2 linked regions of the Macaca fascicularis genome follow. The protein of the gene in region 1 interacts with the protein of each later gene in a biochemical or structural test. Links are inferred from orthologs where the notes say so. Each region holds a gene or a part of one and is shown in the gene's direction. Other genes may lie near its edges.

Region 1 (4,393 bases):
GTGGCCCAGAGTGTTTGAGCATCCTGTGCAAGGTCACAGAATGGGTGAGTACTGACCTGGTTCTGTGCTTTGTCCCAGGACACCTCCTCCGCATCTCCACAGAGTGCTAGGCATTCCAGGACAGTTCATCTTGCAATTCTAATATTGTATATTGCATATAAAAATATGCAATAATTAACAGCTAACATTTATTGAATATCAATATGTACCAAGCACTGTGTTAAATGCTTATGTGCGTTACTTCACATAATCTCCACAATGCTGTTACTACTATTATACTCATTTTACTGATAAGGCAACAGAAGGGCAGAAGTTTAGGTAACTTGCCCAAGATTATACAGCCAGTAAGTAGCAAACTGTGCCACAGAAAAGACACAATCATCTATAAAATGGGGATGATGGTATTAGTACCTACATTAGTGAGAATCCGATGAATTAATATTTGAAAAATGCTTAGAATGGAGCTTGGCACCTAATAGGCCTGTATACGTGGTTGTTAACAAATTGCTAAGGTGATTCAGAGATGACAATAAATAACTTCTATGCATGGTGACTAACGAAGGTTTGGGAAGGTGATGTTTAAACTGGGCCCTGAATGGTGGACAGGATTTGGAGAAATGGAGGTAACAAAGAAGGCATTTCAGACAGGGAAAGGAGGGAGGGAGGGAGGGAGGGAGGAAGGAAGGGAGGAAGGAAGGAAGGAAGGAAGGAAGGGAGGGAGGGAGGGAGGGAGGGAGGGAGGAAGGGAGGCAGGAAGGGAAGGAGGGAGGGAAGGAGGGAGGGAGGAAGGTAGAAGGGGAGGAAGGAAAGAAGAAGGGAAGTAAAGAAGGAAGGAAGGAGCAAGAAGCGGAAGCAAGCTCAGAGTCTGTAAAAAGAGAAAAAGAAGAAATACATGGCAGTAGTCAAATTTGACTTGGGCAAAAACAAAAAGCAAAACAAAAACAAACAAACAAAACCAAAAAACTTCCCCTTTCTTCCAACCAGTCCCTATTTCTGCTGTACTTCCTCAGTATATCTTATCATTTTCCTCTGATCCCCATGGAATCTGCTGTCCTTACTCCCTTACCATAATGACCCATTGAATAATATTTATTGAGTTCCTCTCTGTGTCAGGCACTGCTCTAGGCACTGAAGATACACCCCAGTGAATAGGCCAGGTCCCAATTCCTAGTTTGCACTATAATAATCCTCCAAACTGGATTATAGCTTTTAGCCGGCCGAACTCCAATCCATCTTCCACAATACCACCAGAACATGAAGACACAGATCTGGTCTGGACACTCACTTGCTTAAATCCCGCTGCAGTATTTTCTCTTTATGTCCAGAATAAATTTCAATCTCCCTAGCATCCCTTACTAATTGTCTCGCACAGTCTTACCTCCCAGCCTTCACCGTGCACTCTGCACTAGAGCCACGGTAAAGCACTGAAAATCCGAGATACACACACTTACAAATAGGCACTTGCAGAAAGAACGTGAGTGGCACTCCATCCCTATTTCATCCCTTGTACACTGAAACTTCCCCAGTCTGCATGCCTTGGATGGGAGAGTCCTGGTTACATTTCCCCGCCCCCGAGTTTTCGAGCCTAAAATCCGGCACAGGGTGCACCCACGTCCCACCCTCCAGGGCACTTCCACTTATAGCAGCCCGGGCACACGCCCCCACCCAGAAGGGGCCGGAAAAGGAGGGGCTTCGCGCGGCGCTAGGGTCGCCATCCTGGCTGAGGTGGCCGGAAGCGGCCCCTCGCGCGGGCGCGGACTGAGGCTGCGCGCCGCAGGTCCCGGCTGCTGGCGGCGTTGCGGCAGCAGGTTTGACTCCCGTGTGGTGCGGCCCAGCAGCTACAAAGTTCCTTCTGCCATTGCTCCTCGTACTCCCGCCGCCCCAGCCGCTGTCCAGCCTCTCCCCCGGGGCTTGCACGGCGGCTTCCACACCCCTCGGCCCGTGCACGCGCTGTGCACCTGCCTGCCCGAAAACATGTTGCAGACACCAGAGAGCAGGGGGCTCCCGGTCCCGCAGGCCGAGGGGGAGAAGGATGGCGGCCATGATGGTGAGACCCGGGCCCGGACCGCCTCGCAGGAGCGCCCCAAGGAGGAGCTTGGCGCCGGGAGGGAGGAGGGGGCTGCGGAGCCCGCCCTCACCCGGAAAGGCGCGAGGGCCTTGGCAGCCAAAGCCTTGGCAAGGCGCAGGGCCTGCCGCCGTCTGAATCGGACGGTGGCGGAGTTGGTGCAGTTCCTCCTGGTGAAAGACAAGAAGAAGAGTCCCATCACACGCTCGGAGATGGTGAAATACGTTATTGGAGACTTGAAGGCTCTGTTCCCGAACATCATCGCAAGGGCCGCAGAGCATCTGCGGTATGTCTTTGGTTTTGAGCTGAAACAGTTTGACCGCAAGCACCACACTTACATCCTGATCAACAAACTAAAACCTCTTGAGGAGGAAGAGGAGGAGGAGGATCTGGGAGGAGATGGCCCCAGGTTGGGTCTGTTAATGATGATCCTGGGCCTTATCTATATGAGAGGTAATAGGGCCAGGGAAGCCCAAGTCTGGGAGATGCTGCATCGGTTGGGGATGCAACCCTCAAAGTATCATTTCCTCTTTGGGTATCCGAAGAGGCTTATTATGGAAGATTTTGTGCAGCAGCGATACCTCAGTTACAGGCGGGTGCCTCACACCAGTCCACCGGAATATGAATTCTCTTGGGGTCCCCGAAGCAACCTGGAAATCAGCAAGATGAAAGTCCTGGGGTTCGTGGCCAAGCTGCATAAGAAGGAACCCCAGCACTGGCCAGTGCAGTACCGTGAGGCCCTAGCAGACGAGGCCGACAGGGCCAGAGCCAAGGCCAGAGCTGAAGCCAGTATGAGGGCCAGGGCCAGTGCTAGGGCCGGCATCCACCTCTGGTGAGGGTTGGTGAAAAGTTGGCCAGTGGGGTCCCCGTGGGGATGAGCTACTGTCCTGAGTCATAAGTAGTATAGGTGGGGCGAGGGTCTTATTTCTGTAGAAATAGTGTGACTTTAAGGATTTAGATTTTGTATCTTATGTTTTGTTACATTTAATAATACTGTTAAAATGCTGTTTGTAAATGAGATTGTTCTACTTTTTCCTGTAGGATTTTGTTGTAGAGTTTTGCTGGTTTTGTAAAATGGCTTGAAGAACTTTGTATTTATACTGTGATTTTGAACAGATTATGGAGCATTGGAAGGAAGGCTGTACTTTAATGGTTTGAAGGAACTCAGCAGTATGATGATCTGGTTCCAGGAGAAAAAATAGCTGATTGGTGTCTAGCCTCCCAATACTTTTGTCTGTTGTATATAAAAGAAGAAAGGCTGGCATGTACCTCCATTTGCTTAGCTATTTGAGTATCTATAGAAAAATTAAAATGTAATGAATTAGTATACCCTGGTACATTTAATAAATTAAACATTTGTGGAGTATCTTGTTTTTTGTGATGCACTGTGTGGGCACTTGGGGTTAGAATACTAAACAAGATAAAGGTCCTGCTTTTTTTCAGAGTTGGAGAGTAAGTAAATAAACGAGAAATTAACAGTGCAGTAAGTTGAAGACTACAAAGGGATATTTAACCCAGCTGGGGTGATTGAGTGAGGTTTGTTGTAATCTCAGCACTTTGGGAGGCTGAGGCGGGCTGATCACCTGAGGTCAAGAGTTCAAGACCAGCCTGGCCACCCTGGTCAGTAGTAGAAACCTTGTTTCTACTAAAATTACAAAAATTAGCCAGGCGTGGTGGTGCACGCTTGTAATCCCAGCTACTTGGGAGGCCAAGGCACGAGAATCCCTTGAATCTAGGAGGTGGAGGTTGCAGTGAGCCGAGATCACGACACAGCACTCCAGCCTGGGCGATAGAGCAAGACCCTTTCTCAGAAAAAAATAAAAAATAAAAATACTGATTTCAGATTACAGCTACTACTCAGTAACATGAGCAGTACTTGATACATGGCAGATCTGGAAAATACTCTACCTTCACCAGTGTCCTCTTTCCAGACCAGATTGTTAACAGTGCACAAAGATGGTGATTGTTAAAATTTTGACCCTTTCTGTCTCCTTTTCAACTTCTACAGGGTTCCCTCTTCTACCAAAGCCCTCAGAGATCAAATAAGGTAATACTTCTGGAATATTATGTAGTGTGAACGAAGGGTACATAAATCTACTACTACCAAGAATTTCCACTTCAAGATTTCTCTTCTGGCACCAGGAAGCCCAGTTCTCCCTTCCATGTTTCTACCTACTGCTTTCCACCTGCCACCTCCCATTTGGAGGAGACTTGTAAGGCATCCCTCCCCTTCATATTATCCGTGGAGAGTCATCCGTAAGCAGCTCTGGCTTCTTCAATGCCCACCACCTTCTGTGAGGATAAATCCCATAGAAAAGGTACTTAGAA
Region 2 (4,293 bases), on another chromosome or scaffold:
GCCCGCGGCAGCCTCCGTGGTTGCAGATAGCATCTCCCCGGCCCTCCTGCCTCACAACGCCCTCCATCTGTTGTCTGTTTGTCTTCCAAGTACTCCAGGAAGAAAGAAGCCACACGGCACTGGCATTCACCCAAGAGGCTGCAGCCTCCGCCCGTGTCTGGGGTTGCTGTCCCCTGTGTTGAGATGGGATGGAATTATTCAAGCAAGCTACGTTTTTTTGATGAGGCTCCCCATCACACCCCTTTTTTGGTCTGTTTATTTCCAGGCAATGCCACTGTAGATAAGTTGGAGGACTTCATCAACAACATTAACAGTGTCTTGGAGTCCTTGTATATTGAGATAAAGAGAGGAGTCACGGAAGATGACGGGAGACCCATTTATGCGTTGGTGAGTGCCCAGCAGAGCCCTCTAGTGGCGTTTTTGAGGAGCTGGAACAGGGCCCAGGCAGCCCGTGTTTGCTTTGGTTTGATTTCTCTTTTGGACAGTTCTTTGTAAAGAAGTCACTCCAAATGTATGGAATATTAGGAATAAAGGGAGAAACGGTTTTTTACTTAGAATAAGACATAGAAGCGATGAAAAGAAACAGTGTGTAGGAGTGTCAAGGATTGCGACCCACGTGGGGTCTTCAGTGGTTTTCAGATTTACTCTCACAGGTAGGGATCAGGGTGAAACACAGGAGTGGGAAGCTGACATGCCCCATCCCTGGCTAGGAGACACCTCGGGCTGGTCAGAGGACATCTGGCTGCTCCCAGCCAGGCTCACACTCAGAAAGGAGCACTCTAGTCCAGGGTTTCCAAAACATTACACAGGCAAAGAACTATGGAAATGCTGGCCAGACACGGCAAAGCAGATTTCCTTGCTGTCGGACTTCTCAGTGCCTTTTGCATTTGAAGCTCCATTAACATGTAGACAAATCTCCCAAATTTATCTGAGTTTGGAAAATACTGCACACCCTCTGGAGTTCTGAAACTTCTGAGGGTCTAGCATGTTGACTGAGCTAAAGAATAAAGTCTGTAGTATATGCCTGGTTACAGATCCATCCTGCGGCTCGCAGTGCCTGGATACAGGAGCTCAGTGACTGGCCAGAGACGGAGGAGGGGAGGGAGGGAGAGCCAGTGACACGTTAACCAACACGCGAAGGGCACAGCCTGACTGTTGCGCTGACTTATTTCTTAGGTGAATCTTGCTACAACTTCAATTTCCAAAATGGCTACGGATTTTGCAGAGAATGAACTGGATCTGTTTAGAAAGGCTGTAAGTAGAGTAATCCCCGTCGCCCATTGGCTGGGCTTCTTATGGGAAAGTTCTGTCTCAGTCGTTAGAAGTGGCAACTGCAGTCTTCAAGGATCACTGGGGGGACGTGGGCCACCACTGCTGTCTGAGGAAAGGCTTTGCAGGGAGATATCACTGTCTACCCATCTGGAATTCACAGCTGTCAGGGGCCCCCATGGCTGCCTGGGAAGGAAGTGCTGGGCCAGGTGTGAGCCCCAGCTGGATGGGCAAGAGCAGGGCCTCACTGGTAGTAACAGGCGTTCCTACCTGGCTGCTGTAAGTGCCATCTGGGAAAGGCAGCAGCAGCAGCGGCATCACCTGGGAGCTTGTTAGAAAGGCCCAGTCCCAGTCCCTACCCTACACTGCTGAGTCCGAATCTGCATTTTTGCCAGGTGCCCGCTGAATCATTTGCATGTGCACATTTGAGCGGCATTGCTCTACCAGGCTTCAGAGCTACTTGCTCGGCCCTCTGGTCAAACATATGGCTAAGAGTGGTTCTCAGGCCTACATAACTGCAGAGGTGAGAAAGAATTCAGACATTTCAGCCCCACTTGGGATCTGTCGAATCTGAATCTCTGAGAACCAGGTGTTGGAATCATTCCTTTGAGGTCTTCTCCTGGGGTTTATTAGCTGCCAGGGTTGAGGAGCAGGTGCTGAGCTGAGCACACATCTGCGTGTGCAGGAACCTGTCTTCTCCAGAGGTTCCTGCCTGCCGTGTCTGTCTCTCGCTGCCTCTGAGGCCAGCTGTGAGGCAAGGTGACCCTTACTGATTTGGGGACATTAAGATGATTTATTTGGGAGGATGTTATCGAAGTGACCTCTGAGTCAAAAGAACTGAGCACAGTCCTGACTCTTGATGCGTATTACATTGTTTTCCCCGAATACCGTGCCAGTGTGCAGTTCTGCCTGTGATCCGAGTGGCCTTACTGCACCCCTGCCAGACTTAGTATTACCATTTAAAAGTTATTTTTGCCATTTTAATAGAGAAGCATGGTACCTGCTCTTTCTTCCAGCTGGAACTAATTATTGACTCAGAAACTGGCTTTGCGTCTTCCACAAACATTTTGAACCTGGTTGATCAACTTAAAGGCAAGAAGATGAGGAAGAAGGAAGCGGAGCAGGTGCTGCAGAAGTTTGTCCAAAACAAGTGGCTAATTGAGGTACTGTCTCATGGTTTTCCAGTCCGGCTCACTCTTTTGAGTGAATAGCAGTTTTGTCTCCAAAATCGTATTTCTAGCCAACTGATGTCTGTGGAGCCCAGCCTTCTCAGATCCCTTATCTGCTTTCACGCATTCCAGCAGTGACCCCATGGGGAGGATCTGGGCCTCACCTCTCCTGCCTCCCACTCCCTGTTCACCCACATGATGTGTTGAGGATGCCACAGCCAGAATGGCAGAGCCAGGAGCTGCACCCGGGATTTGGGCCCCGGGACCAAGCCTCTAGCCCACAGACTGCAAGGCAGAGGCAGTTCCGTGGCTGAGAGTGTGGCTGTGATGTCTGACCCGGGTCTGAACCCTGAGCCAGGTGACCTCAGGTTCCCTGTAAGAGGGAAGTTGTCGTTTCCCCTTTGGGGCTGGGTGTGTCAGGAGCAGGAATGGGACCTCACAGTAACGTGCTCCGTGCTGCGCTGGCTGGCTCGCGGGGGAGGCAGCAGAGGAATTGGCGACGTTACCACTGTTGTTTTTGTCAGCAGTGAGTTCCTCAGGGTCAGTACTTAGAAGAGGCACAGACAAGCTTTAGGAAAGGAGCTGTGACGTCTGGGACAGGCCCCACTGCAGCTCCAGTTTCTAGATGCTGCCCCGCCCCCACGTCTAGTCCTGCTGAATGGAGCAGAACAAATGTTTCAGTTCTTTTTCCACAAAAGGCACCCCTGTTTTCAACAGCGTAGTGTTTGCTGAGTTGACCATTGCTGTGCCCTCCCAGATGCTCGTGCCCGTGTGTGTTGAGGACGCGCTCACGTCGGGTTCCCGCTTCCTCACTTGGTGGTCGGACTTGTGGCCAGAGGCTGCTGCTTGTGGCTGCAGCGACTCTCCACTTCCTGTTCAGGAAGGCTTGCCTCCGGATTGGGGAAGTCTGTGTTCTGAGTTACTAATTTCTGTGTAGGGTGGGCCTGTACCAGGAACCTGACCCAAATTCAGTTCCTGGGGTACCTGATGGGAAGAAAGGGTGGAGAGGTCACGGGGTGAGGGCAGAGGTCACAGGGGTGAGGTCAGGGCTGGGAGCTCCTGGTGAGTGCAGGATCTGCTGGGCACATTCCCATATGTCCTGTCTCGGAGGCTGCCTGCTGTCCTGCAGTGGCTCCATAGCTTAGTTTTTAGCTGACAGCTCAGGGGTCTGGATGACATCGGACAACAGCTCAGGGGTCTGGATGACATCGGACACCCTGAGAGTGGCAGGGCCGAGTTCAGGCCCCAGTTTGGGGACTGCAGCTCCCATCAATGGCTTTGTCACAGTTTTTCTTGCCCTCCGGGCTGTATTTGGTACTAGAGAATGTTCTAGGGTCTGCTGAGGTTATAACTGACCATTCTCGCTTGTGGTGCAGCCCCTCTTAGGGCCAAGTTTTTTTTTTTTTTTTTTTTTGAGATGGAGTTTCGCTCTTGTTGCCCAGGCTGGAGTGCAATGGTACAATCTCGGCTCACTGCAACCTCCACCTCCTGCTTCAAGTGATTTTCCTGCCTCAGCCTCCCAAATAGCTGGGATTACAAGCATGTGCCACCATGCCTGGCTAATTTTTGTATTTTTAATAGAGACGGGGTTTCTCCATATTGACAAGGCTAGTCTCGAACTCCTGACCTCAGGTGATCTGCCTATCTTGGCCTCCCAAAGTGCTGGGATTACAGGTGTGAGCCACTGTGCCCAGCCATGGGCCAAGTTTCTTAAGGGCAAGGGTTATGACCTCTTCATGGCTGATTCCCATTGCAGAATCTAGTGCGTGGCACCTCAGGCGCTCAATAAATGCTTGCTGATTGGATGACTGAACGGGTGGATGAGGTTACAGAGGAACAGAGTTTAAAACTTACA

What was found.
Region 2: the proteins of MAGEF1 (region 1) and NSMCE1 form a complex in vitro, tested with the Homo sapiens proteins (2 studies listed by BioGRID). The link is inferred for Macaca fascicularis from reciprocal best matches to the Homo sapiens genes MAGEF1 and NSMCE1.

Annotation. Positions count from the first base shown.
Region 1 is NC_088376.1:96,642,054-96,646,446, reverse strand, and holds MAGEF1 (melanoma-associated antigen F1), read left to right. Parts: upstream 1-1,731; 5' UTR 1,732-1,974; coding exon 1,975-2,901; 3' UTR 2,902-3,431; downstream 3,432-4,393. UniProt on the Homo sapiens protein: Enhances ubiquitin ligase activity of RING-type zinc finger-containing E3 ubiquitin ligases. Proposed to act through recruitment and/or stabilization of the E2 ubiquitin-conjugating enzyme at the E3:substrate complex.
Region 2 is NC_088394.1:26,312,861-26,317,153, reverse strand, and holds part of NSMCE1 (non-structural maintenance of chromosomes element 1 homolog), read left to right. Parts: intron 1-265; coding exon 266-387; intron 388-1,176; coding exon 1,177-1,254; intron 1,255-2,285; coding exon 2,286-2,432; intron 2,433-3,195; coding exon of another isoform or gene 3,196-3,375; exon of another isoform or gene 3,376-3,477; intron 3,478-4,293. UniProt on the Homo sapiens protein: RING-type zinc finger-containing E3 ubiquitin ligase that assembles with melanoma antigen protein (MAGE) to catalyze the direct transfer of ubiquitin from E2 ubiquitin-conjugating enzyme to a specific substrate.